Linked DNA regions of Notamacropus eugenii. The protein of the gene in region 3 interacts with the protein of the main gene of each other region in a pairwise test. Links are inferred from orthologs where the notes say so. Each region holds a gene or a part of one and is shown on either strand. Other genes may lie near its edges.

Evidence for each region. The genes of interacting proteins can lie anywhere in the genome.
Region 1: the proteins of SF1 (region 3) and FAM168A interact in binary tests that used the Homo sapiens proteins (3 or more experiments, as listed by UniProt). The two-hybrid records come from large-scale screens. The link is inferred for Notamacropus eugenii from reciprocal best matches to the Homo sapiens genes SF1 and FAM168A.
Region 2: the proteins of SF1 (region 3) and SF3A1 interact in binary tests that used the Homo sapiens proteins (3 or more experiments, as listed by UniProt). The link is inferred for Notamacropus eugenii from reciprocal best matches to the Homo sapiens genes SF1 and SF3A1.

Annotation. Positions count from the first base shown.
Region 1 is NC_092876.1:131,753,595-131,763,935, forward strand, and holds the start of FAM168A (protein FAM168A), read left to right. Parts: upstream 1-5,314; 5' UTR 5,315-5,355; coding exon 5,356-5,412; intron 5,413-10,341.
Region 2 is NC_092875.1:15,042,223-15,053,171, forward strand, and holds the start of SF3A1 (splicing factor 3A subunit 1), read left to right. Parts: upstream 1-5,922; 5' UTR 5,923-5,992; coding exon 5,993-6,055; intron 6,056-10,706; coding exon 10,707-10,825; intron 10,826-10,949. Other genes in the region: CCDC157 (coiled-coil domain-containing protein 157), read right to left, coding at 2,320-2,491, 4,636-4,884, 5,659-5,792. UniProt on the Homo sapiens protein: Component of the 17S U2 SnRNP complex of the spliceosome, a large ribonucleoprotein complex that removes introns from transcribed pre-mRNAs.
Region 3 is NC_092873.1:17,540,012-17,550,829, forward strand, and holds the start of SF1 (splicing factor 1), read right to left. Parts: upstream 4,541-10,818; 5' UTR 4,355-4,540; coding exon 4,324-4,354; intron 4,013-4,323; exon of another isoform or gene 3,883-4,012; intron 3,540-3,882; exon of another isoform or gene 3,381-3,539; coding exon of another isoform or gene 3,362-3,380; intron 2,937-3,361; coding exon 2,808-2,936; intron 227-2,807; coding exon 151-226; intron 1-150. UniProt on the Homo sapiens protein: Necessary for the ATP-dependent first step of spliceosome assembly. Binds to the intron branch point sequence (BPS) 5'-UACUAAC-3' of the pre-mRNA. May act as transcription repressor.

The sequences.
Region 1 (10,341 bases), on a different chromosome or scaffold from region 3:
CCTGCTATCCTTGCCAGCCTGAAGGTCTCTATATACATAAATTTATACCCCTGTTTTTTTGTTTTCTTTTTTACTTCTAAGGTTATATTTTCTGGAGGAGAAGATGCTTTCCTCAAACTCACAATCTGCCTTCTCTATAAGAGCAATATTGCTTTTGTTCATGACAGTCCTTTGAAGTAAATAATTGTGATGTCATTTGGCAAATGTTGGGCCATTCTGTGTCCCATCCTGGATACATGCCTTGGGAATTCAGCAGAACGCTTTACTTTTATCAGATCAACAGCTAACTGTGTGTACAATGGTACATCAGGGAGTCATCAGCAGTGATTACTCATTTCTTCTTCCTCTGATCTCTACTGGATGACATCTCATCTGACATTACCTGTATATTCCCATTATCAGTTCTTAGGGAACAAACAGTACCTGCCTCCACAGAGGGCTGAGGGTTTTTTTGTTGTTGTTCTAGTTGAGTAGTGAACCTTATTTCTGTTCTTGAGTCCTGCCTGTGGGCCTTACCCCCACCAGATTTTTTTTTTTAATTTTATATAATTTATTTATTTTCAGTTCTCAACATTCACTTCCATAAGAATTTGAATTCAAAATTTTCTCCCCATCTCTTCCCATCCCCACTCCAGGACAGCATGTACCCCATGTACCCCTTCCTCCAGTCTGTCCTCCCTTCTATTACCCACCCTTCTTCTATCCCCCTTCCCCTCTATTTTCCTGTAAGGCAAAATAGGTTTCTATACCCTATTGCCTGTATATCTTACTTTCCAATTGCATGCTAAAACAATTTTTAATATTCATTCTTAAAGCTTTGAGTTCCATATTCTCTCCCTTCCTCCCTCCCACTCATCCTCATTGACAAAACAAGCAATTCAATATATGTCATACATGTGTAACAATGCAAAGCACTTCCATAATGTTGTAAAAGACTAACCACATTTCCCTCTATCCTATCCTGCCCTCCATTTATTCCATTCTCTCCCTTGACCTATCCTTTCACTATAGTGTTTGCTTCTGATTATCCCTTTCTCCAAGTTGCTATCCCTTCTATTATTTTCCCTCTCATCCCCTTCCCTCTTGCCTTCCTGAAGGGTAAAATAGATTTCTATATCCAACTGAGTGTGTGTTATTCCCTCGTTAAGCCAAATATCATGAGAGTAAGGCTCACTTATTTTCTTTCATCTCCCACTTCTTCCCCTCCATTGTAAAGGCTCTTTCTTCCCACTTTTATGTGAGATGATTTGCTACATTCTACCTCTCCCTTTCTCTTACTCCTAGTACATTCCACTCAAGAGTAAATTTTATTTTTTTAGGAATTCTCCCTTCATATTCAGCTCAGCCTATGCCCTCTGTCCATTTGTGTGTGTATATATATGTATATATGTGTGTGCATATATGTATACATATATACACACAAACACACATACACATATATGTATATATGCATATATACACACGCACACATACACCCGTGTGTGTGTATATATATATACTTGCACATGTGTGTATACATACCCATACCCATACATACATATATTCCCATACACATCTACATATATATCTATATACATACATACATATACATACATATATATTCCCTCCAATGACTCTAAAACTGAAAAAGGTCTCATGAGTTACAAATAACATCTTTCCATGTAGGAAAGTAAAAACTTCAGCTTTATTGAGTTCCTTAAGGCTTCTCTTTCCTTTTTACCTTTTCATGTTTCTCTTGATTCTTGTATTTGAAAATCAAATTTTCTATTCTTGTATTTGAAAGTCAAATTTTCTATTCAGCTTTTGTCTTTTCAACAAGAATGCTTGGAAGTCCTCTATTTCGTTGAAATTTCATTTTTTCCCCTGAAGTATTACACTCAGTTTTGCTGGTAGGTGATTCTTGGCTTTACTCCTATCTCCTTTGACCTCTGGAATATCATATTCCAAGCCCTTCGATCCCTTAGTTTAGAAGCTGCTAAATCCTGTGTTATCCTGATTGTATTCCCACAATACTTGAATTGTTTCTTTCTGGTTCCTTGCAATATTTTCTCCTTGACTTGGGAACTCTGGAATTTGGCTACAATATTACTAGGAGTTTTCCTTTGGGATCTCTTTCAAGAGGTGATCAGTGAATTCTTTCCATTTCTATTTTATCCTCTGGTTCTAGACTATCAGGGCAGTTTTCCTTGATAATTTCTTGGAAGATGATGTCAAGGCTCTTTTTTTTATCATAGTTTTCAGGTAGACCAATAATTTTTAAATTATCTCTCCTGTATCTATTTTCCAGGTCAGTTGTTTTTCCAATGAGGTATTTCACATTGTCTTTTATCTTTTCATTCTTTTGGTTTTGTTTTATAGTTTCTTGGTTTCTCATAAAGTCATTAGCTTCCATCTGCTCCATTCTAATTTGTAAAGAACTATTTTCTTCAGTGAGCTTTTGAACCTCCTTTTCCATTTAGCCAGTTCTGCTTTTTAAAGCATTCTTCTCCTCATTGGCTTTTTGGACCTCTTTTTCCATTTGGATTAATCTATTTTTTAAAGGTGTTATTTTCTTCAGCATTTTTTTGGGTCTCCTTTAGATATCACCTAGTTCCACAACCTTCATTTTACAAAGGAAAAAACTGAAGCTGAGAAAGAGAAAAGAGGTTTCCAAAGCCACCTAGCAAGTCAGTGTGATTTTCTAGCATCACTTTCATTTCTCTTCCCAATTTTTCCTCCACCTCACTTACTTGATTTTCAAAATCCTTTTTGAGCTCTTCCATGGCCTGAGACCATTGTATTTTTTGGAGGTTTTGGATGTAGAAGCCTAGAATTTTATATCTTCCTTTGATGGAATGCTTTGCTCTTCCTCATCTGAAAGGATGGAATAAAATACCTTTTCCCCAAGAAAGTAACCTTCTATAGTCTTATTTTTTCCTCCTTTTCTTGGACATTTTCCCAGTCAGTTACTTGACTTTTGAGTCCTTTGTCAAGTGGAGGGTATACTACCCTAGGCTTCAGAAGTTTTGTGCAGCTGTTCTCTGAGATATCTCTAGGAACCTGTAAGTTCTCAGTTCCTCTAAGGCCCCACCAGAGTTTTTAAAAATGAAAACCAAAGCCCATAGGAAATGGGTTCATACTCATTCATTGGTTTCCTTCAATTCTAGCAGACAATATATAGATTCCTGATACCAGTCTGATTCCCTTCCTTGATCTATAGACTGAAACCCAATTTTGACTCCAACCTAAATAGTAGCCCCAATCCTATATTAAGCTTTGATCTCAGCCTTGAACCCTGACCTCATCAACAAACTGAACTCTAACTTCAGAGGAAGACTTTATACCAAAGATAGACTGAGCTGTGACCTCCAACTGAATCCTGACCCTAGTCCTAGACTTTGCTCTGAAAACCAGACCCACTTTGAATTGAGAATCCAGACTAAATCCAGACACAAGACTAAAATTTTCAATATGGTTCCCTGAGTCCTGACCCCAGCCTTAGATCAAATCATCTTTTTTAAAATCAAGTCTAGACTGACATCTGACTCTATGTGCCTTTCTCTTATCCATGCCCTTCACTTCAAGTTTTCTCTCTCTCCTCAATTTTTTTAGAGCATTCGTCCTAGATCTCTCCTTTTCCTATATCACATTGTAGGTTTCTAACCTGTGAACTCACTGGATTCCCTGCTACCACTCCCCTCACACCATCCCTTCCCAACCAGAATGAAAACTCCTTAGAAGGCATAAACTATTGTTTTTCATTTTTATGTCCCCAGGACCAAAGATAGTGTCCTCTTGCCCTTAGTAGGCATTTAACAAATATTTAGGTAATCCAAATTTAATGACTATCCCTGGTTCTATGTTCTCCACTGTCTTCCAAAACTCATGGTGGCTCCCTAGTTGGGGACTTGACTTTTGTTGGAAGAGAAGTTGGGTGAACAGGGCAGGGTGGCACTTTCTGGAGTCCTGAGTTCAAGTGCCAGCCACATAGACTTGCTAAGTGGCTTTGGAAACCTCTTTTCTCTTTCTCAGCTTCAGTTTTTTCCTTTGTAAAATGAAGGTTATGGAAGGAGGTGATAGCTAACACACACACACACACACATCACGCACAGCTGAGAGGATCAAGGGGCAGGAAGCCAAACTGGTTATTACTAAATCCTTCATTTAATATCTGTTCATTGACAGAACCTCAGAAGAAACTTTGACTCAGATATGTTATGTTGTCACATGTCTATGTTCATGGCCCAAGTTAATAGATAGAATCTGAGCCTCAGGTCTTTTAAAGTCGAGTGCTTTCCACTATAGTGCACCATACTACCTCCTTTAAATACTGCAAAGATTTTCATTCCATATTTATAGATGTGAATAGCTCTGGGACAGGGACTGCCAAGGCAGCATGGTGCCATGGGGAGAGAGCTAGATCTGGAGTCAGGAGACATTGGGCCAAGTCAGGTCAAATCCACAAGCACTTAATAAGCATCTATTATATTCAGGGATCTGTTCTAAGCACTGGGGTTATAAAGAAGGGCAAAAAATAAAACACCAAATCCCACCCCCACCCAAACTAACTAGTCTTTCAAGGGGATAAAATGGGGGGAGGATGGGAGACAACATGCAAACAACTGTAAACAAACAAGATATATTCATAGAGGATAAATTGGAAATAAATCCTAGTTCTGACACCTAAGATATAGAAGGGACCATAAGCTTCAATGTGACCAGCCTTCTCATTTTACTTACCAGCTGTGTGATCCTGAGCAAGTCATTTGACCTCCTTTTGCTTCAGTTTCTTCTTCTTCAAAATAAGGATAATGTTGCTTGGGTTGTTGTAAGGAAAAATTGTTTGTAAACTCCTGAGCACCATAGAAATGCTAGCTATTATTATGCGTGCTATATTTTAGGAATGATATTGACACTGAGAATCTGGAGCCTGTTTCAGTCAAATTACCAAGGATGGTGGACCATGTCACAGGGTGATCAGATAGGAATGTTTAACCTAGAAAAGAGAGGCTAAGGGAGGAGGTGATTTGTGTCTTCACATATTCAGAGAACTGTCCCATAAAAGAATGATGTGACTTGTTTTGCATAACCACAAGAGGCAGAGATAAAAGAAATGAAATCCCAGAGAACCAGAACTCCCCAACAATAAGTGTTCTTTCAAGATGGAATGGATTTGCTCTAGAAGGACTAAACTTCCTGTTATTGGAGGTGTTCAAGGGGAACCTGGGTGACCACTTGTTACCAACACTGCCGAGAGAATTCAGAGCATCATGTAGGGGTTGCCTGGTATCCCTTCCAGTTCTGAGATTCTAGGATTCTGTAATTCTTCTCATTCTATAATTGTGCAGCAGGGACAATTCTCTCCCTTCCCAGTCTATGGAGAGGGACTGGTACCTCACCCTCCATTCTAGCAATTTTGAGAAACAGCCCAAGGTAATTTGAATAATACTTCTGTCTAGTGACCCTGGGGGAAGTAGGGAGGGTGGAGAGATAATGAGGGAGAAATGAAGGTTTCACTCCCAATCTCTGAACTCAGTAGAAAATGTTGATTTAAGTTGGAGACAACTGTTGCTGTCCTTCATATTGGAAGGGGAACAAAATAACATTATGGGGGGGAGGAGAAGGGGGGTCGTCAATGTACATTGTGTCTAACTGTGACTGATCAGACCAATATGAGCTCAGAAGGTTCTATCACAAGTTGGGCACAAGTAGTCCATATGAACATTTGGGATAAGAGATGTATCTAAATCTGCACATCTCATGTTTCTTTTGAGCTACTGAAATCCTGCTTTTGCTCATAGAACACAGCATCTTTTTTTTTAATGTGGTACCAAATTCAGGGAGAGAGAAGAGGTGAATGGTAATGAGTCACTACAGTGAGTTAAAGACAGATTTGCTAGTTTAGGTGAAAGAAGAAAAGGTTCCTATAATCTCTGAAAGACTTCTCAGAATTGAAACCATGGACTATGATGACAAAGTATAAAAGAAAATCTATTAAAGGGGACTGGCATATATTCAGATTCCCTTTGATGATACTCTTTCTTTTTTTAATTGTATTTTATTTTTTCCAATTACATGTAAAGAAAATTTTAAACATTCACTTTTGTAAGATTTTGAGTTTCAAACCTTTTTCTTTCTTCCTCCCTTCTTCCTTTCTCTCCTCCCCAAGATGGCATGCAATCTGAAATAGGTTATACATGTACAATCATATTAAACATATTTTCATGTTAGTCATGTGAAAGAAAGAACAAAAGGGAAAACCAAGAGAAAGACAAAGCAACAAGAACAAAAAAGGTGAAAATAGTCTGATTTGGTCTGCCTTCAGACTCCACAGCCCTTTCTCTAAATTTGGTTAGTATTTCCCATGGTAATACTCTTTCAATCAATCAATTAGCTTTATTAAGCACCTACTATGTGCCAGACACTGTGATAAGAGCTGCCCCTAGAGAGCTTACAATCTAATGGAAGAGGTTGGGGATAGTTTTGATGATGTATAATGAAATTGCTTTAAAGAGACTTTGGAGTAAATGTAGACATTCTGTAATTGGTTCTGCTTTGCTAACCATGTTGTTAGGAGAAGACTTTTCAATTAGCTACATGACCAGAATTGGGGATATCTCAAAGGACATCTGAACAGAGTCTCAGACATTTTCCTGGGCCCTTCTCACCTAGTTCTCCTGGTTTGACTTCTTTGCTAATCGCATCTGGTGAGACACAATGCTGTAAGGAGACAGACCTTGGTCCTTCTCCACTGAGATCAGTATGTGACCACATGAATGGGCCTTGTGTCTTCCTTTTCCATTTTAGTTGAAAGGACTGGAGACTCTGACCTGGTGAGGTTCAAAAGGTCAAAAGAGCAGTAGAGAAGATACCTCTGACCTCTCAGGGTACTCTTAGAATCCTGAGAAAGGAAGTATAACAACCTGACTCTGGGATAGTAAACCAGAGCACACTTGCTACAAAGGCTTCAGAAAAATGAAGGTGAGTACTTCTAACCAAGATGGATGCTTGAATGAAGATGGGCAGCTCAGCTTCCATATACCTACTCTAGCAAAATACTAAAAATTAACATGAACTAATGATGAAATAATGATCAAGAAATTCAATGAGAAACTACTTCATTCATCTCAGAATGGCACAAGTCTGTCAGAAGTCTACCCAACAGGAAAGGTGGCATACCAGAAAGTCAGCACCAATGCAGGCAAACATCTCCTAATGTGACCAGAAATATCTGTAGCCCAAAAGGCTATGTATCAAGAGGCAGGGGGAGCAGGGGGCTTCCATGAAAAAGTTCTGAGGTTGGATCCATAGCTTGGATCTTAGGAGCCAGAAGTATCAGTGAATAGTATGGGCATGGCAGATCTCAGGTAACATCCTTGGCCCAAAGGCTTTGAAATCCCTAGCACTCTGTCCTAAGATACCATAAAGAACCCTAAAAATTCAGTATTCTGAATCTCAAAAATCCAAGGAGGTCTAAAACCTACCAATGCTCTTAATGTAGACATACCCTGGGAGGTTAAGATCGGCACAGAAACCCAGGTCAATACCAAACAGGGCTGACCGCTCTATCCAAAAGGACATCAAAAGACAAAGACTCATCTTGGCACAGCAACTAATGATGCAAATATGAGTAAACAGAAGACATCAGGCACTATAAAGAATTATTATAAGGGGCTCAGCACCTTCCAGCTCCAGTGGTGGTTAGTTTTGCTGTATTTTGTGCAACTGTCTCCCTCCATTCTATATGATGTAGAAGCATTCTCCAGCAAGGCTATCCTAAAGGTGCTGAAGAATGGAATACCTGATCCTATGGCTTTTGGTTTCTGGAATCATCTTTAGTAGGGATCTAGGCAATGTAATTGCCTTAAAGCCAGATGCTGCCTGCTCACACAGCTTAGAGAAAGAGGGCTTTGTTGCCTCCCTGGCTCCAGTGCCTGTGGTCCCTGCCTTTTGTTCAATATGATCTCAATTGCTATATTCTCAAAGGAAAATTACTTAGAACCCTGTTGTCCCTGGGGCAGGAACCCAAAAGCCTGTCTCCTTGGGGTATGTATATGCCTATGCATCTAGCCTCTTGCTCATCTAGGACTGTGGAGATATGATCTCTGGATCATCCATATCCACGCAATGACATTCTTGTTCCCATGATGATTGTGATTGGTACAATGGCTGGGCTTTCCTCACTAGTTATGGATATAGTCTGCTGGTGTGGTTTATAAAAGGAAATCTGAGAAGGCAAGAAAAACTGAACCCATTAAAATATGTATAGTCATGCAAAACAAATTCCTTTATTAGTCATATCTCCCTTACCCCCTGCCCCCACTAAAAAAAGGAGGAAGGAAAAAAGGAAGGAAGAAAAGAAAATTTGCTTTAAGATACCCTCTGAATCCATCAGCTCTCTATGTGGAGGTGAATAGCATGCTTCATCATGAACTGGAATTTTGGATGCTCGCTGTGTTGATTATCTATTGTTGTTATTGTATCAATAGTACTCCTGGTTCTGCTTACTTCACTTTGCATCAGTTCATTCAAGTCTTGCCATGTTTTTCTTGAAACAATCCCCTTTATCATTTCCTATAGCACAATAGTATTCACCATAACTTGTTCAAATATTCCTAAATTGATAAGCAAGCCCTCAGTTTCTATTTCTTTGCTACCACAGAAAAAGCTGCTATAAATATTTTTATACATGTGATACTTTTCCTTTTTTTTTTTTTTTAGATTTTATTGGAGTATACGTTTAGTAGCAGTGTTGATGGATCGAAGGGTATACACAGTTTAATACTTTTGGGGTATAATTCCAAATTACTTTCCAGTATGGTTGGACTACTTCACAGTTCCACCAACAATCCACTTAAGTACCTGTCTGTTTTTCCCACATCCCTTCCTGCATTTATAATTTTCTTTTTTTTCTCAACTTTGTCAATCTAATGGGTGTGACATGGCATTTTAGAATTGTTTTAATTAGCATTCTTTAATTATTTGTAATTTAGAACACTTTTTCCATATGGTTGTTGATAGCTTGGATTTCTTCTCTGAAAATTGTCTTTTCATATCCTTTGACCGTATGCCAATCAAGGATCATGGCAGCATATTAAAAAAAAATGAATAGAACAGAAAGAAGGTCGGAATCATAGACAAATAAGACAACTTTGATAGTTAATATGTTGAATTTATTATTATATTACATTATAAAGAAAAGCAAGCTATAGATAAGAGATCCACAGTTTCATATATAATCCTCTTGTTATATTATGAATTTGAAAATGCACATTTTATTTAATGTTTGTTAAAGTCAGAATTAAAATAATAATCAAACAACAACAAAAACCAGAAGGTACCTGCACTGGTAAATGAGTTTTTTCATTCAGAAATTCCCTATAACACTGAAATCTCTATTCCTTATCCCTTGTTATAAGCTTACTAATCATCAATTAACTTAAACATTCCAGTATACAGATAATATAAGTGAGGATTACATATGAAATGGTGGGCATCTGTTATGTACAGCTTGTTTGCTAATATGTATGTTTAAATGAGGCATTAACAAAATTGTTCTGCTTGCGTTTCCCTCTGAGCTTTTTTTCCTGTATTTTTAATTGGTGCTCTTTTTTTGAACCTCTATCACTTTCCACTAAGTCAATCATTCTTCTCATCAACAAAAGTCCTCTTTTGTTCCAAATATACAGTCAAACAAAACAAATCAACACAATGACATATCTGAAAACGTATCTTACATTCTGCATCTCTGTTCCATCAACTTCCTTCCAAGAGGAGGCTGACACACTTGATTATCATTTTTCTGAAGTTATGATTGCTCACTGTATTGAGCAAAATTTTGAAGTCTTTCGCAGTTGTTTTCCTTTACATTATTGTGGCTACTGTATAAATTATTTTCCCCGTTCTGCTTCTTTTTCTCTGCATCAGTTCATATATCTTCCAGGTTTTTTTCTGAATTCTTTATATGTTCTTTATGTGTTACATTTATATACAACAACTGGTATCATCATTCCCCAGTCGATGGGCATCCACTTTTACAAGTCTTCTTGTATATGGTCAAGAAGAACTACTTTCCTGTACACCTTATGAATTTCTCTCCTTAATTGCACTAGGACATACCACAGTTTGATGTACACTCTCCCTCAGCACCTGGGATGTATAATTTCTACTGAGATTCCCATGGTTTGAGAGACTTGGGAAAAAACCCCGTGCAGTCTCCTTAACTATCTCTTGTAATTACTACAACCTGGCATTGGTGTGTGTGTGTGTGTGTGTGTGTGTTCAGATTTACTGAGATTGCTTCCTCAGACATTTTGGAGAAAAGATCTGGCACCAACTAAAGGCAGCACTGGTCCTGGAGTC
Region 2 (10,949 bases), on a different chromosome or scaffold from region 3:
ACAGGAGATGGGGACCTTATGCCTCAGGAGAAGGGGAATCAGGACTCTTGGGAGCAAATGGCACCCAGAGGAGTGGGAGGACACAGAGCCCAGGAAGAGACCACAAGGCAAATGCAGGGAAATGGTCAAAGGGAGGGAAAAGGCCAATAATAAACTGCACAATCAAGGACATAGGGCTGAATATTCCTTCCTCAGGGAAATATGTTCTCTATCACCTGCTGGTAATAGTATTTCCAAGAATAAAGTACAAAAAAAAAAAAGGAGTCCATGGGGCAATAGCAGAAATACTTTATAAGTGGGAACCCAAAATAGGTACTTCCAAAGTTCTAATTCCATGAGGAATATAGGGAATAAAGGACTAAATAAATACAAGGACAAAGAATAAAACTCTAGAATATACAGGAAATGAAGATAAATAATGACAAAAGGGAAAACCATCCTAGAAAGAATTTTTTTCTAAAAAGAATAAAGGTACAAAAAAATGAAATTTAAAAAACTAATGAACAAAGTAAATTAAAGGGGAAAGGAGGAAGAGGAATTTTCGTTAGCTACTTAACTAAGAGGAAAAACAAAAGAGGAGAAAAAATTTAAAACAAGAAAGAAAAAGGAACAAAGAAACAAAACTCCAAAATTAGGGAAAGGGGTAATAAACAGAAAGAGGAGGACAAATTTATGGGGAAGGGGAAGAGAGCAGGTAGAAAGAGGGCGACTTTAAAATAAATTAAGCTAAAATTAAGTAATATAGTACTGCTTTTGGAGGGGGGAACAATTTTAGAGACAAATGGAAAAAATTAACTTCAAATGTGGATGGATTAAACAATCCAAAAAATCCAAGGAAAAGAATAACAGGTCGTATAGAAAAGAAAATTTCACATTCTGTGGCTTACAAGAAACACATTTGAAAACCAAAGACATACCCAGGCATCACATCAGGGAGCACAAATAAAATACACAGACCTAAGGATGAAATTCTAAATGAGTGGGTCAAAGGACAAATCATAGGAACAATTAGTGATTATGCAAAATAAAGTGATAATGAGGCAACAACAAAACTTCTAGAATACAATTAAAGCAGTCCTTCACGGGAAAATCTTCTTCTTGCAAACATGTCTTAATAAAATAGAAAAAAAGAAGATTGGGGAACTGAATATACATTTTAAAAAATTAGATTGTCCACAAACCAACAACCCTAAAATAAACACAAAAGAAGAAATGACACAAATAAGAGGACAAATAGATAAACCAAAATAACTATAAAAACGATAAATAAAAATGAAAAGTTAGTTCTTTGAAAATACTCGTAAAACTGATAAGCCTTTAGTCAATCTGACTAAAAAGGGGGTAGAAAATCAAATCCAGAAAATTGTAAACTAGCACTGTGAAATCACAGCGAAACCAGAAGAAATAAAAAGAGTGATCAGAACCTGTTATACACAATCATACGCTAACAAAAGTGGAAATACAATAGCCATGGGGAAAAACTTCAAAAATGTAAAATAAACATCGGAGAAAAGATAAAATTGAGATCTTAAATAGCTCAAAACAGATATACCTGTAAAGGAACTACCAAAGAAAAAATACTCTTGGTCCTGATTGTGTGCATTTATCCTTCACTGCCGAAGAAGACTGTGCCATCAGAGAAATGATGACGTGACTTGCACTTGACTTTGTTTTTTTGAGTGAGGGAGGGCTGTGCAGATCACCAGCCTCACTTCTCCTCCAGAGTCATCTGAATCCAGTGACCAGATATTCATCAGGATGACTGGAGATGCCCCAGAATGAGGCAATTGGGGTTAAGTGACTTGCCCAAGGTCACACAGCTAGTGAGTGTCAAGTGTCTGAGGTGAGATTTGAACTCAGGTCCTCCTGACTCCTGCACTGGTGCTCTATCCACTGCACCACCTAGCTGGACAAATTTAGCCTTAATACCTAAACCAGAGAAGGATAAAGCACAGAAGAAGAGCGATAACCAATATAAATAAATGGGGGAGTCTATGAGACATAATGGAATATTACTGTGCTACAAGAAATAACGTATGTGAGCATATGAAGAGACATGGAATGATCCACATGAATTAATGCAGAGTGAGGTCAGCTGAGCCAAGAAAACAGTATACACATTTACTGTAATGCAAATGAAAATGACAACCAAACACCAAAAAAATCAGAAGTGAATTTTGCAAAATACAAGAAACAAACTTGGCTCCAAAGCAAGAAACGAGAGAAGACCCCCTGCCCTGGCAGAGGGGGAAGCTGTCAGCCACTCCTGTTGTCTGGAGGTCACATGCCCAAGGGCTACTCTGGGAGAGCCATCCCTACCTTAGTCAGCGATTGCCGGTAGAGCTCTCCCAGTTTCAGTGTGCTGGTCCAGTACTTGCGCACAGTGAGCCCAATGGACATGCAGGGCCCCACCTCACGGGAGACGGGGATCAGCTCATTGCTGGTGATGTTGTCCGTGTAGCTGGTAAAACTCTGGAGAAGCAAAAGAAGCCTGGGGGACAAAGAGACTCAGACTGAGGGCCCAGAGCCAGACAGGCCAGAGAGGGCTCGAAAGCCTCCACCTGGGGAGGATGCTCCTGGTCACCCAGTTTGTCAGTGGTCTTGGAAACCAAGGCACCCTGGGGAGCTCACAAAGCTCTATAGGCATGTTGGCCAGCACATTGGACAGTACTCTTAAGTACCCTGACATAAAAGAGGACATGTCACTTGGCCCTTTGGCAGGTTTTCTTTTTCTTTCGGAGCAGGGAAGGCAAGTCAGTTGGGGTTAAATGACTTGCCCAAGGTCACACAGCTAGTAAGTGTCAAGTGTCTGAGGCTGGATTTGAACTCAAGGTCCTACTGAGTCCAGGGCTGGTGCTGTATCCACTGTGCCACCTAGATGCCCCTGGTAGGTTTTCTTTTGCCAAATTCAAAGCTCACTGGCTCTCTGAGTGGCCGCCAGACTGTCCAGAGCTTGGACTCTGAGTTTTCTTGCTTTTTAAACTTGTGGGCTTTTTGTGTGTCCTGACTGAGTTAAGCAGCTGAGGCCCCCAAAGGGGCAGTGACTTACCCAGGTCCCACTACTGATAAGCAGCAAAGTCAGGACTGCAGCCGGGAGGCTCATGCCCTACCTTGCACCCAGGCCATCCCAGCACCTTTGGGGCCCATTTCCTCTTTGGAGGAGCAGAGCTGCCAGAGGCTCCAGAGGCATCTACTCAGCCTAGAAGAGCACACACCCCACCTTCCATAACATTCTGAAGGTCTTCCAGCTCCCACGAGGCAGCATGGTAGGACTGTGCATGGTGCTAGATTTGGAGTCTGAAGACCAGAGTCTGAATCATGCCTGGGACACTTACTGACCGTGGACTTAACCTCCCTCAGCCTCAGTTTCCTCATCTGTAAGATGGAACTATAATTGTAAGGATCAAATGAGATAACATTCCTGGAAAAACAGGCTTTTAAAAAGCCTGTGTTTCAATGTAATGGAGTACTATTGTGCCATAAGAAATGATGAACAAAAAGATTTCAAAAAGGCCTGGAAAGACTTATATGATCTGATGCTGAGTGAAAGGAGCAGAACCAGAAGAACTTTGTGCACAGCAACGACCACAGTGTGCGAGAGTTTTTTCTGGTAGACTTGGAATTTCGTAATAATGCAAGAACTTATTAAAAAAAAAAATCCCAATGGTGGTTTTCTAAGGCAAAATGCCTTCCACACTCAGAGAAAGAAATATGGAAGTCATTCGCAGAATGTAGCAGATCATGTTTGTGTGTGTGTGTGTTTTTGTGTATCATGTTTTGATTTGTTATATGATTTCTTCCATTTATTTTAGTTCGACTACATAGCATGACTATAGTGAAAATGTACTCAATAGGAAAGTATATGTAGAACCTATACAGAATTGTATGCTGTCGTGGGGAAGGAGGGAGGTAGTGGGAGGTAGGTGTTGGGGGGATAAAATCTTAATTTTATGGCAGTGATTGTAAAACATTAAAAAATAATAATAAAATAAAATTTAAAAAAGAAAAAAAAAAGCCTGTGTTTCAAATGGAGCTATCTGACTTGTCACTCAGGTTTCACTGAATGGCCAATAAGAGCCCCCAGCCAGCCAGTTCTTGAGTTCTAGAATGAGTGTGCATGGCAATTATTTTCTGTTCTGGCTAGAAACTCTGAGGGTCTTCCCCTTCCAGACTGATGTTTCTGTGATGGTAAATTCAGCCATCTTTTGTCACAGTTCTTATCCAGCCCTTCATCAGATTGGGTGTGCCTCAGACAAACTGAGGCCTGAGAAAGACCTTCATTTAGAAAGGCCAAGGTTACCCCCTGCACCTCAGGCCATCCTGAGCGTCTGGGCCTATGTTGTGCCGCTGGACTTTCCATGACTCAGAAGGGAGTAAGGCTGAACACTTAGCTGGCTCTGCCTCACTGAAATCCAGTTCTCAGAGTTAAGACATCACCCTCAGGATGTCATCAGTCCTGAACTGCAGATCTCTATATAAATGCTGTTGTGGCTCTGAAGGTGGGGGCTCCCCTAGCACTCTAGCTCTGGACAGCTCCCAGCCTTGGAAAGTCAAGCGGATACCTGCTTCCCTGCCCGCAGCCCCTGCCCTCCGGGCACCCGCTCCAACCCCGGGGCACCCTGGCTTGCCCCTCACCTGTCAATCACCAGCTCCAGGAGCACCACATGGGAAAGCTGGGTGAACTCCGGGTTCCCTTCCTCGTGGTCATAGTGCTCCAAGAGGGACACCAAGTCCAGGTCGCACGACACTTTGTCGGGGAATTTCCAGGAGGGGAAGCGCACGGCCCCGGCTCGAGAGAACACGTCCACGATGGCTCCTTGCAGGTCTGTGATGTCCTTCCTCAAGCTGTCCATGCAGCTTTGGTTCCCCAGCAGATGGGCCATCCTGCAGGCCAGAAGATGCCCTGGGCGGAGGCAGGACAAGCGCCACCTCCTGCCTCCCGGCGCCCTGGGCCTCGGTTTCCCAGGTTTTAATTCGGAACCCACACGTCTTCATGTCCCTCCAGCTGAGCTCTTGGGTGGGACCCCGGAGGGGAGGGAGGGGATGCTTTCTGGGCACGTGGGCAGACACCTGTGCTCGGCTCGTTCTAGGGCGCCCTGGCGGGGGGGGTGTCTCAGGCTCCCCCCCATGTGCCCGGCCCCACCGCTCCCGATCTGAAGCCCAGCCCTGAGCCTCGGAAAGGTGACGGAGGGCTAGGAGGTCCGGCCAGTCCCTGACCAGGCCGAGCTGCTCTCCGGTGCTCTTGGTCTTCCCTTCGTACCCACGACCCCAGTCCCTAGCCTGGGGCCCGACACCCGGGGGGGGCGAGGGGACGGGGGGGCGGAGCTTGACATGAGCCCCTGGAAGGTAAGGAGCCTTACCTGGGAATAGGGCTGTGGAAGGGGGGGAGGGAGCAGGGCGGGGCTCCTGCGACAGGAGGGGTGCTCCCCGAGGTGGGAGGGGCCCAGGGATGCGGACAATAATGGCGGGGTTCCTCCAGGAAGGCAGGTGCTCCCTGAGGTAGGAGGATGGGCTCCCCAGGGGAGGTGGGAGGGGCGATCCCAGGGATGGGGGGGAGATGAGGGGCGGGGCCAGAGTGGGGGCAGTGAAAAGGCCGGGCCCAGGCGGGCTGGGCACCCCGGGGCAGGATGGGACCCCGAGACGTCAGTCCGAGCTCACCTGCCCCCAGCAGCGCCGCTGCAGCTCTTGGAACTATTCCCGCAGCTCCCGCCCCCGGAGCCCCGGCCTCGACTTCTCAGGTCCGCAGCCGCTCCCAGCCGAGTAACTGAGGTCTCCCGCCTGGCCGTCTCCATGGCAACGGCGTCTCCACGTCCGGCGTGCGCGGGGGGAAGGGAGAAGCGCCCCCGGAAGGCGAGGGGCGGGACCGGAAGCGCGTCTCCCCGCCTCCATCAAGGCGGTCCGCCGCCATCTTGTGAGCGCCCGGCTCGGCCCTGTCGTAGCGGCCGCTCGCGCCCGGACCGCCGTTGGAGCCGCCGCCCCCAGCGCCGCAGACATGCCGGCCGGACCGGTGCAGGCGGTGCCGCCGCCGCCGCCCGTTGCCACGGAGCCCAAGCAGGTAGGCGGTTGGCGGGCCCCTCTGGGCCTTGTCCGCTGATGGGAGGGAAGGGGAGAGGAACTGGAGGCTTTGGGGCCTCCATGGCAGAGAGGGAGACGGACTACAGCTCCCAGGAGGCTTCGCGCTGGCCGCGCCGCGCGGCCACCTGGGAGCCGGACGAGGGCGCTCTAGGCCCGTGGTCCTGCTGCCATGGAGCCCCAGCGTGGCCTGAGCGCCCCCGCCGGCGGCCGCGTGTGCAGAGCGGCGGGAGCCTGCTCGTCCCCGGGGCGGGCTCGTGGTGAGGAGCCCCCTGAGCGCTGGGCCCATCCCAGACTCTCGGTGACCCCTCCTGGGGTTGTCTTGCCGCAGATCCCGGAGGGATCTCCATTTACAGATGGGGAAACGGAGGCAGGCAGGGTGAAGGACGAGTGTCACTGCCCCCCCCCCTGCCCGCGGGCCCCTCCCCCAAAGGCAGACACGTGGAGAGACGGGGGAGGGGCCGGGAAAGGGAAAGGCAGACACGAACCCCGCGATGGAGCCTCATTAATCCTAACCAATTAATCATGATTAATGATGATCACGTAGCCCTTTCCCACTTGTGACCTCACCGCACGCGTGGGCCGAGAAGTCGGGACGGCTCGTGGATTCGTGCTCGGGAGTGGGCCCAGAGTTTCTTCTCGAGACTGTGAGCTGTTGGGGGGCAGACGCCGCCCCCCTTTGTGCCCAGAGCCTAGCACGCAGGAGGTGCTCAGTGATCCATCCGGCACCTGCCCGGGGGCGTCCAGGATAAAGCGCCTTCCGCCAGCCCGCCTTCCTGAAGTTTTTAAATTGTGAGTTCGTTATCAGTAAGCAGTTGAAGGTCCAGAACAAGGAAGGTTACGCCAGAAGTTGTGCCGTGGTTCCGTGGTCCCGAGAGGCGTGCTGGGCCATCGCACCGCTCCTGATGAGTCCCAGGAGGAGAGGGTGAGGCTGGTGCCGCCCTCGAGTCACCGGCAAGCGCCAGTCATGTCGTCCCCCGGGCGTCACGGCCTTCTGCAGGAAGGAAGGACGGACGGACGGACGCAGTAAGGGATGTGTGCAGAGTTAGCCAGGCAGTGCCAGGAGCGCTGGCTCGGGGCCCCTCACGCTTGGAGTGCGTTGGAGCGTCCAAGTGCTCCAGTGCCTGGAGCGAGCTGTCTGATCGGTGCACGAGCCCAGCGCCCTCCTGTAACACGCTGGGATAGCACGTGCTGCCTCCCGGACCGGTGCCTCTGTGAAGGGGCTCTGCTGTTTCCTAGCCTCCCTTGAAGGTTCCGAGGGGGAGATGGCCTGCCACCTCTTCCCAGAATGCCTTCCGGGGAGGGGGAGAGAGAGAGAGAAAGGGTGTGTGCTCATGCTGAGTACTCCATAGCCACCCGAACACGGGAACAAAACAGCCCCTGTCCTCAAGGAACGGAATTCTGTCAGGGAAAACAATGTTCCCATCCAGCTAGATCTTTGTGTGTATTTTCACATCTGGTTATCACTGCATGAATTGTTCCACTCCCCTGTGAAAGCTCTTTTAGGGCAGAAACTTTGATTTTTCTCTTCATGGCCCCAGTGCTCAGCACCAAATCCCCAGAAAATGTCTGTTGAGTTGAATTTACATTGTTGACCCGTCCTGTCCTGCTCTCTGTGACCCCATGATTATAACACACCGGGCTCTTCTTTCCTACTCTCTCTCAAAGACTAAGGTCATGTGTGTTGCTTCCGTGACACTATCCCTTTCATCTTCTGCCACTCCCTTTTCCTTTTGCTTCAGTCTTTCCCAACATCAGAGTCTTTTCCCACGAGTCCTGGCTTTTCATCATGTGGCCAGACTATTTAAGCTTCAGCCTCAGTATTTGACCTTCCCGTGCGTAGCCTGAATTAATTTCTTTAAGGGACTGATTTGGCCTCCTTGATGTCCAAGGGACTCTCAGAACTCTTCTCCAGCTCCACGATTCAAAGTGTCAGTTCTGTAGTACTCTTGTAGTTCCTCTCACAGCCATATGCTACTACTGGAAAAGCCATAGCTCTGACTATGCCAACGTCATATCTGTGCTTTTACTCTGCTGTCCAGGTTTGTCATATCTTTCCTTCCAGTGAACAAGCATCTTTTAATTTCATGGTTGCAGTAAGTCAAAAAAACCCGACCCAGCCTGTTGGTAAAGCCTGACATGTGCTAATGGATTCCCCACCTCTAATATCCCTCACCCACCCCCACCCCTGCCTGCCTTTCAGCCAGCAGTGGGGGGTTCTGTTTCCCCATCAGTCCTCTGAAGACAAGTTTAGTCATTGCAGGCATCTGAATTCTGCCTCCTAATGTTGTCTTTATATTCTGGTGGTCCTTTGTGTCTTGCCTGCCAAGAGGAGGAGCTGTCTAAGCCGAACTCTATGTCTGCCAGGGCCTGCTTATTTAGCATGGCATCCTCCACAGCCCTGCTCAGCGGGCACCAGATGTTCATTGAATGTTGTAATTGAGTCCCTGGGGGTAAGAATGCTTGGGAACACATCTTGTGAGGCCAGCACTACACCTCAAAACAAAAAAAAACACTGTGTCTCTTGGGGTGAGGGATGAAAGAGAACAAAGCCTTACAGAGGCATCTTCCACTGTTCTGGGGCCCATTCTCCCTCATCTTTGCTGACTGAAATGGCCTCCCCACTTCACTCTGGCTTCCTTGGCAGCTTCTTCTGCCATCCCTCACCTGGCTGCTTTGCACAGACTCTTGTTTTACCTCAACGTGGTATCACCCCAGGGCATGGCCACTACAAATGTTTAATATACTAAGGCCTCCTTGGGGCACTTCCCTGAAGACTCTGGTTTTAAGAGAGCCCTAATGAGCCAGTCTGGGCTCTTTCCTGCCCTCATCCCCTATGGAACTTCCGTGGTGATGAGGATAATGTCCTTCTTGGTTTTTCCTCCCAAAGTAAGGAATGTTGACCTGGAGGCTTTTTGCTCTCTTGTTTGCCTACTCTAGCTGGAAAGATTCTTCCTTGGTCACAAAGAAAGGTCTTCAGCCATGTCCTTCAGCACTCAGCCAGTCCCACCCTCCACCCGTGCAGCCTGACCAGCCTGTCCTTGCTGAGAAGGGCTCCTGTTGCCTCTTCATCTGGGAATTCCTCCTTTTTCCATCCAAGTCAGAAGTCACCCCCTCCCACCCACTAGAGAACACTGACAGGGACATAGAAAAGGGCCTGCTGAGGGTCCTGGAGCAGAGCTAGGGGCTGGTAAAAGCAGTGTAGATGCTTGGTCATCCATCTTGTCCCCTTCCCTTAAGGGGCCAGACCTTTTATTTCAGATACCATCTTAGGAGAGCACTCCTGCCCCAGGAATTGAGCCCTCCCCAGTACAGATTGTTTACTGGGGAAAGATGGGGTGGGGCATTCTACTAGGGCATAGATGGGGGAGAGGGCAGGGGATGGGGAAGAGTGTGTCCAGGACAGAAAGTACAGGAAGCAATGAGAGAAGGGAGGAGGTTTGTTGTCTGTTCCTTCCCCTTTTTGTCCTCTCAGACCAAGGGCCCAAGGATTTTAATAGGGTTCCCTCCTTAACATGTCCCTTAGATATGGGGGTGTAGGGTTTGCTCCAGCTCTTCTCAGGCCCCTTGGGGGGGGGTGGTGAAGGAAGCCAGAGGAGCACATTTCAGCTTTCTGCTGATGTCTGCAGGATGTTTTCTTTTCCCTTTCTTATTAAGAATTTTGTTTTAATGCTGTTGAATCTTAGAATGGAAGATCAAGGTTTTGTTCCCCTTATTTGACCAAAAGAGCTAGAAGATTGATTTTGTCCATCAATAAACATTTAAGTATCCACCGTGTGCCAGGCTCTGTGCTCAGGGCTGGTGGTAGTAGTGAGCCCAGTAGGTCTGCAGTTAACACCTTATGGAGTGGTGTGGGACCCAGAACAAGGGGTGAGTGAGTGTCCTAAGAGCAGTAGGTAAAAGTGAACGGGGGCAGCCAGGTAGGTGGCACAGTGCACAGAGGGCTGGGCCTGGAGTCAGGAAGACCTGAGTTCAAATCTGGCCTCAGGCACTCCTGTTCAAGTCACTTAACCCCTCTCTGCCTCAGTTCCTTATCTGGAGAAGGAAGTGGCAAACCACTTCAGCCAAGAAAACCCCAAATGGGGTCACAGAGAGTCAGACACACCTGAAACAGCTGAGCGGCAACAAGTGAACCATCCTGGGCTTGATGGGGTAGAGAATGTCTGGGGGGCATTTACCAGGATGGGGAGAGCACTGGAGACCAGAGCCCATGAAACTGAGTTGGAATGGGGGGAGGGGAATTAATGGGGAAAAGAAAAGACTTGGGAATATGGTGAGCATCTTCCAGGTACTTGTAGGGCATCCCATGGAAGGACACTCAGCCTCCTTCTGCTTGGCGCTGGTGGCAGAATTTGGGGTGGAGGGCAGGGGCAGGGGAAGTGGATTTAAGCTCAGTGTCTAGAAGAACTTCCTAAGCAGAATCCTCCAAGAGTAGGAGGGCAGGGCCTTGTAGAGGCTGATTCAGAGGCCTCAAGGACCTTTCCACTCACAGAGTCTAGGATCAAACCAGCCCACCCACCTGAGCTGGGCTTCACCCTTTGGTCTCACCTTTTCCCTCCTGGCTGCATGGGGAGGGGGGTCTTTGATCCTGAGGTCTATGGGAGTTTCTTGCTCACCCTTTACTGTCCTTGCAGCCCCCAGAAGAAGAAGCTTCCAAGGAGGACTCTACCCCTTCCAAGCCTGTTGTGGGAATCATCTACCCTCCTCCTGAGGTTAGGAATATTGTGGACAAGACCGCCAGCTTTGTTGCCAGGTAGGTCAGGGTGCATAAGCACAGACATAGTTCAGAGACCATGTGTTGGTGGTGTGCTCCTGGAGAGCTCTCCATACTTCCACACGTTCATTAGCTCTGTGTCCCTCATGGCATTGTGGGATCA
Region 3 (10,818 bases):
ATTGTGTTTAAATCTTAGTTCCCCAAAGAGTCAGAGTACCAAAGGCATCTTATCAGGATTTCATTGAACTGACACATTATGTTGCCACCAAAAATGTATTGAGAAAAAGGTAAAAGCGTTACTGTCAGCTGGTTAAAACTGTTTCCCAACCTGTCCTCAGGGTTAGGGGGGATGCCCAGGTCTCCTGTGCGAAGTTTGCGAGTCAGGTCTTCTATCTGCAGTTGCACTGGAAGAAACCAGGTTAGGAAAGAAAAAAAGGATGGAAAAAAGACAATGTTACCAAAAAACATCTCAAATCTCAACATCAAAGCATGAAGAACTTGGAGACTTTGAAAGGGATGACTGACCAGGGAACAAACTGAGGAAAACCCCCAACCACCTACCAATCATATACTTCGGCAGGAATCCATTTATATCTCTAGCTATTTTTCTCTTCAGAGAAGGTTATCAATTGGGAAGCAAACAGTTTGTTGGAAGAGGTGTTAGCAATAAAGGCTGCCTAATGACTACAGCTAACAACAAAACAGTTCGTGGGGAGCTGAGATGTTTCTGCTCTACCTGTCCCAGTAACAAAAGCTTGCTCCAACTGGTAACAGAAATAAATCGTGGATGCCAGCAATACCCACCCCACCATATTATTCTCTTCAGGGTCAAAGTCTTTTTCCTTTTTTTCCATTAAAACAAGTAACGTGGTCTGTGCTGAGGACCAATTAATGAATGCAGGTACAGAAAGTGATACCAGTTGAGCAAAGATCATTTCCTTTCCAGTGTGGATTGTGCTACTGGGCATATTGAGTGTCCTTCCAAATCCCCTTAAGATAATCCAGAAATTCACAAACATCCTATTGCATACTACCCGGCCCATCCATATTAGGTAAAGCTGCCAATATACCTGCTATTCAAGTGTTAGATAACAAGCGATATACATAAATAAACCAATAGTCACAGATGCAAGAATTGTTTTTGGTTTTGTTTTTTACCACAAAGGTTTTAGGGGGACAGGCACAAAGGGCAAAAGGGAGTAACATGTGACCCCCCACCTTGGCTGTCGACATTTGAGGCTGTACAGAAGAAAGGAAGGTGAGGGTTTCACAATCGGAATAATGATAATAATCTACCAGTGGCTCTGAGCAACATTACTTGATTTCAGAGATAATGAGACCTGTAGTGCCTGGGGACACAATACCATTTTCCCCAAAGGTGTTTAAATAATCACCTACTTCTTACCTTTAAACCAACCAAGGGCAAAGGCCTGCAGAGCTTTTAATTGAATGGGACTAATAATGTACTTCCAACTCAAAGTATCTAGTTTCTTCTCTGCCACAGAAAAATCTCCAAGTCCAAACAGCCCAGGCTAAGTAGCCCAAGGTGAGATTCACCTTCATGATTATATTTTACTTACTGTACATTTTTACCTACTGAAATGTGGGTATGGGAGACAAGAGACAGAGTTTCCCTTGGACTTCTGGATAAAGCCCAAGACACTAATGACTTTAATGCAATTCCCTCCACCAGTGGTTGGTGGTGACTTAAGTTCTGTGGTTTGGGGTTAGCTAAGTTCTACCCTGGATTGCCCTTTGACTCTACACTGATTGCTGCTGTAAATAACTCTGGGGCTTTGTCCATTAACAACCAAGGGAGCCCAAGGTAAGGAGGAGTCAATAGAGCTGGGCTGCTGTCCAAGAATAAGGGCACAACTCTCCACTAGAGGGCAGGTTTTCCAGTCAGAAGGCCCGCATCTGGAGTCATGTGCCGGCCCCAAGAGGCCAAAACTCTCAGGTTCACAAAGGCAGAAAAAAAAAATTCATGGCACAGCCCCAAGAAAACACCTTTGCTGACTGCCTTAAAGAGGCTTCTGGATCTATTTAAAGCCACAGCCTCCTTAATGAAAAATGAATTGTTTAAACTGATTTTTTTTTTGACACCTGCACAAGTTGGCAAATAAACACAAAATTCTTGCATTAAAACCTTATATCAAAACATGAGACAAGTCACTTTGAAGTTTCAAACTTCAACTGCAATGTGGTAGAATTATTCCCAATACAGAGATAAATCTTTTAACACTTGAAATATCCTATCTCCCCATGTAATATTAGACTTTTTCAACTACCCAAGGCCAGCTCCATTCCCAAGCAGTATTCCTTTCCCAGCAAAGTTCTTTGTGAGCAAATACAAATGCCTTAGTTTAAAACAGTTCCAGAGACCAAACCAGAACAGATGCTGAAGGGAAGGTTAAATTTCTGGAACCAAATGTTAAGTAAAGATAAACCACCACCAAATTTTCTCTTAAGCACTTATGACGTTAAAATTCAGCTGTTACAGGTTTTTCTGCCCCTTTCAGGCCACACCATGGTACCATTGTGGAAGACGCTATATTTCTTGGGTAAAGAAAGGACCACTCGCTTCCACAAGTACCTGCTGACTGGGGTCCACTGGAAACCCTCACCTAAGAGGCCTCATTTTCCCCCCCTTTCTCCCACCTCTTTAAGTTCACTAAGCAGAGAAAATGTTTTGAGGGAAAATGAAGGTAGGGCTAATATTCTGTCCCAGGGATTCTACTACCCCCTATACACACACCTTCCTGGCACCCACGGAGAACCTGGCTGTCATGAACAGATGGGGACCGGGCTCAACAGTACAGTACTGGTTAAGCAAAAACTCGTGAGTTAAAACGTTAAGCAGTCATACCTGACAATAGCCCAAATCTTGAAAATGTAAATTTGTAACACTTCGTTCAGCAGTCAGTGACATTTCTCAGATGAACTAGAACGTGATTCAATATGTTTGCATGTAGAACGTGTATTTACCTATATAAGCTCTTTCTTGCTCCCTTGTAAGTCCAGGGGGGATGACAGTCGGCATTCCCGGAATCACCGTCTTCTGTTCCATTGTATCCTGGTTCCATCGGCTCCTCTTCCGCTTCTTATTTGGGAAATCTGAAGGCAAACGTGGTTCGTTAGACCCAAACAAAATCTATGAGCCCGCAAGCGTATACCCTACCGTGAGCCAAGGGAGCCCAATCGTGGCCCAAAAGTTGGATCTCCACCCGCCACCAACAATGAAAAAGCAGCCAGGAGAAACCTCAGGGGACCCCCAATTTAACCCTGGGTCACTACAAACTCCCAGACATTGTGGTGACCGGGACTTGACCAGGGACTGGACGAGGACCACTGGCTCACAAGGCTTCCCTCTCAGAGCCTCCTCTAACAAAGGGGGGGGGGCATTTGGGTAACCCTGATGCCCCCCCATCAGAGCACAGCCAGGCCCAAGGCTCAGCCCCCCCATACAGCCAAGGGCAGGCCCAGGAAGGGCGGCGAACCACCCTCAGCCCCCCCCCCCCCCCCCCGCACCCCGCTCTCACCGCCCAGGCGGCCCAGCATGGCCGAGGCTCCTCTGTGGGCCGTCAGCCCTCCTTCCTCACAGACCTATCTCACCCCATACGGGGCGGGGGCGCCCCGGACCCCTCCCTCTCCACCCGTCCACCTGGAGGCGCCCGCGGTGGAAGCTGCCCCCGCTCCAGCCCCCTTCCCCCTTCGATTGGCTTTCAAAGACGCGCAGGCGCACCAAAATGCCCCGGCTCGGCCTGCCAAGCGGACGGCGCCTGCGCACAGTGCTTCCGCCCCTGCCCTGCCCCCCCCTCCCGGCCTGCAGAGGACGGCGCGTGCGCGCCCTCCGCTCCCTGGCTCGGGCTGCGCGCGCAGGCGGCGGCGGCGTGCCCCCCAGCTCGGCCCCCCTGCCCCCTCCCTCCGTCCCCCCGCTGCGCGCGCGCCCCCGCCCGCCCCCGCCGCCGCGAGCCGCCGCCGTGGTGTCGCGCGCCCCTCGGGCGGCCGGCCTGTCCGCGCGCCGCCGGCCTCTCTCGCTCGCTCTCAGCGTCCGACTCACCTCCTCCCCCGCCGGCCGGGCCCGGCTGCGGGTCCTGGAGCGGCTGCGGCGGCGGCTGCGGCGGAGACACGTGCTGGAAGAGCGGCGGCGGCTGGGGCGGCTGCGGCGGAGGAGGCGGCGGCGGCGGCGGAGGGGGAGGCTGCGCCTGCGGCTGCGGGTACGCGGGGCCCGGCGGCGGGGGCGGCTGCGGCGGGGGCCCGGAGGCCGGGCCGGGAGTGGCGGCGGGCGGCGGCGGGGGCGGGGGCGGCAGCGCCGCGAAGGGGAAGGCCGCGGCCAGCGGCGCCGCCATCAGCCCGGGGCCCACGGGCCCCAGCGGCAGCCCCGCCCCGGGTCCCGGCCCGCTCCCCCCCGGCCCCGGCGGCGGCGGCGGCTCGAAGGCCCGCTTGGGCCCGGGCCCCGGGGGGAGGCCGGGCGGGGCCGCGGCCGGCGGGTGCAGCTTACCCAGCGGCGTGGCGTTCGCTCCGGTCGCCATGGCGCCCCCGGGGACCGGCGCCGGCAGCGGCTGGGGCGGCGAGGGCGGCTCCGGGGCGGCGACTTGGGCTTCGCGAACCTTCGCGGGGCCGCGGCGCGGGCGGCGAGCCTCCTCCGAGCGGACCGGACCGCACCGCACCGCGGAGCGAGCGCGAGCTCCTTCCTCTCACGCGGCGGGCGCGGCGGCGACGACGGCGGGCGGGCGGCGCGAGACGCACAAAGAGGGAGGAGGGGGGCGCCGGGGACCAGGGGGCGGGCCAGCGGACCGGCCTTCCGCCGCCGATTGGTGGACGTTAGGTCCAGGGCTGGGATGGGAGCGCTCGGATTGGCGGAACTGCGGCCGGGCGCTGGGTGAGCCGGGATTGGCCCGAGCCGTTAGGAAGAGAGAGGAAATGGCGGCGGGGATGGGAGGGGGCGCGGTGCGCTCTACATTTGTTACTGCGCGAACTGAGTTCTAGGCTACCTGGGGGTGGGGGTGGAGGCGAACTCTATGACGTCAAGGAGCAGCGGCCCTCTCATTGGCTGAACTGAGTACAGTCCATCAAGCGCAGAGGTGGGTCGGGATTGGCTGCACCGAGTTCTCGCCTCTCGCCCCGCCCCCCTCACCCTGGGGAGCAGTTTCCCCCTGATTGGAGAAGAGGTCACGGCCTCGGAGTCGGCGCCAGGCCGGGGCTGGGGCGGGGGGGCGCATGCGCACGGAGCCCCATGGCCTCGGTAGCTGGGCCGACTCTGGTTGCAGAGGTGACCCGCCCCTCTCTGGCTTAGAGATGCTCCCGGACCTTGGCTAAGTGCTTTGCCACGTGATCTCAGGTCCCGCCCCCCCTCGCCCCCCCCCGCTGACCTGAACGGAAGGGACCTAAGTGTCCATCCCTGTCTAGACAGGGAAACTGAGGCACAGAGGTGGCCAGGCCGCCTAGCCCAAGACCACGACCTCCCGGACAAAGGTCTGGGCAGCCCAGGAACTTGATTTCCTCTTCCGCCACAGTGCTGCTCCCCCCACCCCGTCCCTGGCCATCCCCTCTGGTTTTGCTGGGGGCGGGGAAGGGCGCGATGACGTCATTGCCCCGCCCCACGATCCCCGCCTCAGCGCCACCCTCCCCTCTATACCTACCGGACCCATTTGGACCCACGCAGCCCCTTGTCCTGGGGTGGAGACCCTCCCTGGCCGTGGCGGGATTCCGCTCCTTCCACCCCCCATGCTGGCTCCTCCCGCTCATAGCTGGGGACCTGGCCCCTAATTATCTCACCACCCTTCTGGCCCTTCTCCTTGCCAAGGCTGCCCCCTCTCACTCCCCCCGGGCTAGCGCCTCCATCAGCCCCCTTCCTTCTGCCTGCAGACGTGCTCACTCCTCCCCTTCCCCAAAAAAACCTTGCTCTGGAGGTGAGGGGGAACCTGCAGCCTCGAGGCGCGGGGCGGGAGGCCCCTGCCCTAGACCGGACCACCCCCCCACTGTTCTCCCTTTCTCAACCTCTCTGCCCCTGTCCTCCAGCTGAACCCCGGCCCTCTCCAGAGTCCCCCGTGCCCTATTTGTGCCAAGCCTGTCTTTGGCCTTTGATGCTGTGGACCATGCCCTTCTCCGGCTTATTCTTCTGAATCTCCCCACCCGCGTTGTGGGATCTGACCTTGGGGGTTCCTCCAAGACTTGGCCCTGGGCCGGGCTGGCTTTTCCCTTTACAGCCTCTCACTTGGTGATCTCAGCAGTCCCCATGGACCTGGCCCAGGCCCTTCCCTGAGCTTGTCTCACGTGAGACGTCTCAAACTGAATGTCCCAAAGACCTCTCAGACTCAGCCTCCCCTCCCACATGTCCCTATTTCGGTTCGAGACTTCCTAACCTCGGGAAAGGCTCGCTCTCCCTCGCTGCACAGATCCAACCAGTTGCCAGAGCTTGCCATTTCCACTTTCACAACCACTGACACCTTTTTTTCTACCCTGGAACCTACTAGCTTAATTCAGACCCATATCACCCTGAAGTCATTTCCCCTGAGTCAATCCATCCAACAAATCCATCTCCCACCTCCATGTCTTTGCCTTGGCTATCCCTTATGCCTGAAATTCGCTCCTCCTTAAAGAGTCCCTTCTCTGTCTTGAAAACCAAGCTTGAACCCCATCTTCCTCTCTAAACATTTCCTGACCCCTTCCTTCCACAGGATGTCGCATATATTTGTATTTATTCACATTATATTTATGCCCTATTCAGGGGTGGGGGACTTGCAGCCTCGAGGACACATGTGGCTTTCTAGGTCCTTGAGGCGGCCAAAAGACTTGTTTACAGAACAAATCCTTTTATCAAGGGGATTTGTTCTGTGAAGTTTGGATCAGCAAGAGGGCTGAACTTGAGGACCTAGACCCTGCCCTATATCTTTTCATATGTACTTAAAATCTCCCCATTTTCTAATATCTAGCATTCATTTCTTTTGTACTTGTACTCCCAGGACCAGATCTTTAGTAAAAACTTCATAAATGCTGGTTGATTTTATTGTTACATCTAAGATCAAATATAAATTCTTCAGCTTGGTATTTAAAGCTTTTCACAGTCTTGTTGTTCAGTTGTGTCAGGTTTTTCATGTCGAGATATTAGATGGTTTGCCATATTCTTCTCCAGTTCATGTTACAGATGAGGATACTGAGGTAAATAGAGTGAGGTGACTTACCCAGGGTCCCCCAGCTAGGAAGTATCTGAGGCCAGATGTGGGCTCAGGAAGGAGTCTTCCTGGCTCCAGACCTAGCCGCTTCACCCCCCTTCCCTGGTCTCTGGCCACCCTTTTGGACTCTGACATTTACAGCTGTTCCAAGAACAGACCCTCCCTCTCTTGGCTCTTGCCATTCTCTCTGGCTGTCTCTCAGGCATCCTACTGGAAACCTTCCCCAGCCCCTTAGTTAATTAATTCCTATTTATCCTGTCTAGGGCTCATTGGTATGGGATTGGTTTCAAGTTTTCTCACCCATTCAGCCAGGAGCCCCTCCAGGGCAGGGGCTGACTTTGGTCTTTCTTTGTATCCCCAGCACTTAGCACGGACTTGGCACTTAGCAGGTGCTTCATTGGGGTTGCCCAATTGTTGCCTTAACTAGGTGAGAGAATGGAGGAGTGAGCATTAACTTCCTTAGAACCATTCCAAACTGGGAGAGACTGGGTTATTCCATAAGCAATTTGTCTAAGTAAGAAAGAGAAAATCTCTGAGGAGGAGGGGGACAAGACAGGACACCAGGGAGGAAATTCAGAAGGTCTGGATTTCCGAGGTCGGTGCGAAGAGAGGAGGCCTAGGAAGTCCTGAGAAAAACAGGCCAGCCTTTTTCCAGCTCCCCCTTCTTCCATGCCTGGCGGTCCTCAAACACTCCCACGGGAAGGAAAGTTTTGTTACCTAAGTGTTTACAATAAACTGGATTAAGTTTGCAAGAGAAAGGAACCCAGCCTCTTCCAGGTAGGAGGGATTTTCCTGAGGGCTCAGAGCAATTGGAACTTTTCATCTGAAAACAAACGCAAAGCTAGAGAGGGGAGAAACCTGGGGACCTTAGAGCCCGTTTTATTGACTGCAAAATAAGTTAATTGCTTTGCCCAAGTGCTACCCCAACTTTCTGGTCTTCCAGGGTCCAGCCCACTGTCTCCCACCTAGTTCTATCTCCCACCTAGTTCTGTCTCCCACCTCCCTTGTCTTTCTGGGTCTAAGGTACACCCCACCCTAACACTCAGAAAGCACTTCAATGCTGGGTGACTGAATGATGAAGGGAATTCACATCTGTAAATCCTTCACAAACCTTAAAAGCAGTTGCTTAAACTTTTCTAACATGGAGCCAAACAACAGGTACTGCATGGTACATATAGTAGAGGTATAGACCAAGATAAGCACCAAGTAGAAAAGTCATTTGGGAGGGGGAGGCCTTAGAGACTGGGGTAGGGGGAGAGGAATGGTGCCCAGGAAAGGCCTCCTGCAGAGACAGTGCTCCATCTGAATCTTGAAGAAAGCCAGGAAGACCCGGAAGAGGCATCGGGAAACAGTCAGTGCACAGATGGGAATTAGAGTGGACCAGCAAGGAGGCCACTTAGGTCAGATCATAGAGGTCTGTGGACAATAAGGTCCAAGAACCAGGGACCAAGTTGGAAGGATTTGTATTTGATCCTGGAGGCAAGAGGTACTGCAGTCTATAGCAGTGTAGGACTGGCCTGGGTTAGACCTGCATTTTAGGAAAATCACTGGGGAAGGAACTGAGAAAAGATGATGCTCAACTTCCCCAGGTCACCAGAGCCAGCCAGAATCTGAGACTAGGAACTTTACCAAATGCATTCCAATAGATTTGCCGAGGATAGCAAATGGAAGAGTGTAGGAGGGTGTCTCATGCCCCCACCCCCTGGAATACAGCAGCTAACAAGATGTTCTACACCAGATAACTCTGTGGTGGAGAATATCTCCTTGATTGAGTTCTGGGAGCAAATATTTAAACTAAGTGTGAACAATCTTTAGATACCACTACTGAATCATTTAATTAATCAGAGCTATAAACTAGATGTGTACAAGAAGTGCTTCAGGCCACTGAATGAAATCAGATGGCAAGATGTATTAGGATTGATTAAAAATTCTAAATATAAAACTGCAAAATAATTACGAATGCCTTATGTAGGACATTCTGCAAAGATATAATCCAGTAAGACCTCACATGCTTCTTATCTGCAAGACTTCCTATTAAGTTTATTTTACAAATTTTGTTAAATAAGAAAATCATTTTTACTGAAATAAGTTGTAACTTGGAAAATGTTTAGTAGAATATAACAATCACCTATAAAGTTAATTTTTATGCTGGACTTTATTTGAATAAAATTTTGTAGTATTTGGTTGAATGCCAATAAACAGCCTTAAATCTGGTTCTGCATCAATTTCTGTGTTTTGATTTAAAACAAGAATAATGTCTTTTGTTCACACAAATAAGAGGTGGAAAATGGCAGGAGAATTTTATAAGTTTTCTGCTGAAAGATGGAAATTCATTTTTTTATTTCTAGCTGCCTAATCAATCATTGACAATTAATAGCTCATTAGAATATAAAGCATTTATTTATCTCCTGCCTTATCCCAAGTGTCGCATTAACTGGTAACTGTCCTCAGAGCACAGTTGCATATTTTTTTGTTTTTTTTAGCAGTGTTTGTGTGTAAACTAATCTTGGGAAGTGAAAGCTCTCTTCAGGCAGAGACTGTCTCTTTTTCCACAACTGGCGTACCAGTTACACTCTCATAGAAAGTACAGGAACACTGTCCAGTGTTGCTGCCTGGTCCAATTGAATATCCACTAGAGAAGAAGATAAGTTTAAACTTAACGTCAGCCTCTGGACTTCCGTGAGAGGCCACAGAAAGTGTTTTGATGGTCCATGACGGTTTCATCAGATGCCTTCCGGGGTGCTGCAAGAGGGCCAACCTGAGACTGTGATTATACAGCTGATGAGGTCTGATTACAGGGTGACAGAAGGGAATGAGGGAGCAGCACTGGGGCAGCCAGCAGAGTGCTGATGAGTCTGTGAGCACGCTTGCTTTCCACCATCCCTTGGGAGTCCATTTGCATTAGAATTTGAATCCTGGTGGTGACTTGAGAACAATTTGATGACAGGTTGAGAAACTGCAAGGACTCATCAGATGCCATCAGATTTTGCTGTAGCTGCAGCATGAACACCAAAAATTGTGTGCATGATCATGACAGTTTGGGGTCACTGCAGAAACAAACTCATGATGTCTCATGCACATGCTGGGTATCACCCAGGAAAAATATATTTGCAACATAATTGGACTATTATTTACCTCTCAAGGCTCCATTAAGGCATCTTTAGCACGTTTCCAGCTCCCAGAGGGGATTCCCTGAATTAGACACCCCTCTGGGCCTACACATGTCAGAGAAGCATTCTAGCAACTTCTTTCAAAAATTAATCTTTGAGATCACTTTGAGGACTATGATCAAAGGACAGCAGTGTGGGAGGGGAGTCACCCCAGAATTAGTGTCTCCATTCACTCCCCATTGACAGTGTCAGGAACATTAATGCAATCTGGCCACACTGAAAGGCATGTTTAGGGCGCATGACCCCTTCAAGAGGCTACAAAGATCTCAGTTCTTGGGGCCCAGCAGAGTGCTACACATGCTGCAGGGGGATGTCATGAGGAGTCCAGAAAAGGAGGCCACAGGAACAGTGAGTTGCCCCTTTGCCTTGTCATCCCTAGCTAGAGACCACTTTCCCCCGTATCTGTCGGGCCATGTGCCCCAGACTTAGAGGGAGAATGTCTGTGCCCCCTCGCAGATCCACCCAACTCAAAACGGATCACTTTAAATGGAACTGAAATCGACCTCTTTGTCAATTCCCACCCACTTTCTGGGGCCAAGGGGAAGAGGTAGAAGCCCTCTCCTGTGAGACAGCCCTTTGGATATTAGCAACGATCCCGTCCAGAGCCTTCAGAGGACAATGTTAAATGCTATTTATAAATACTATTAAATA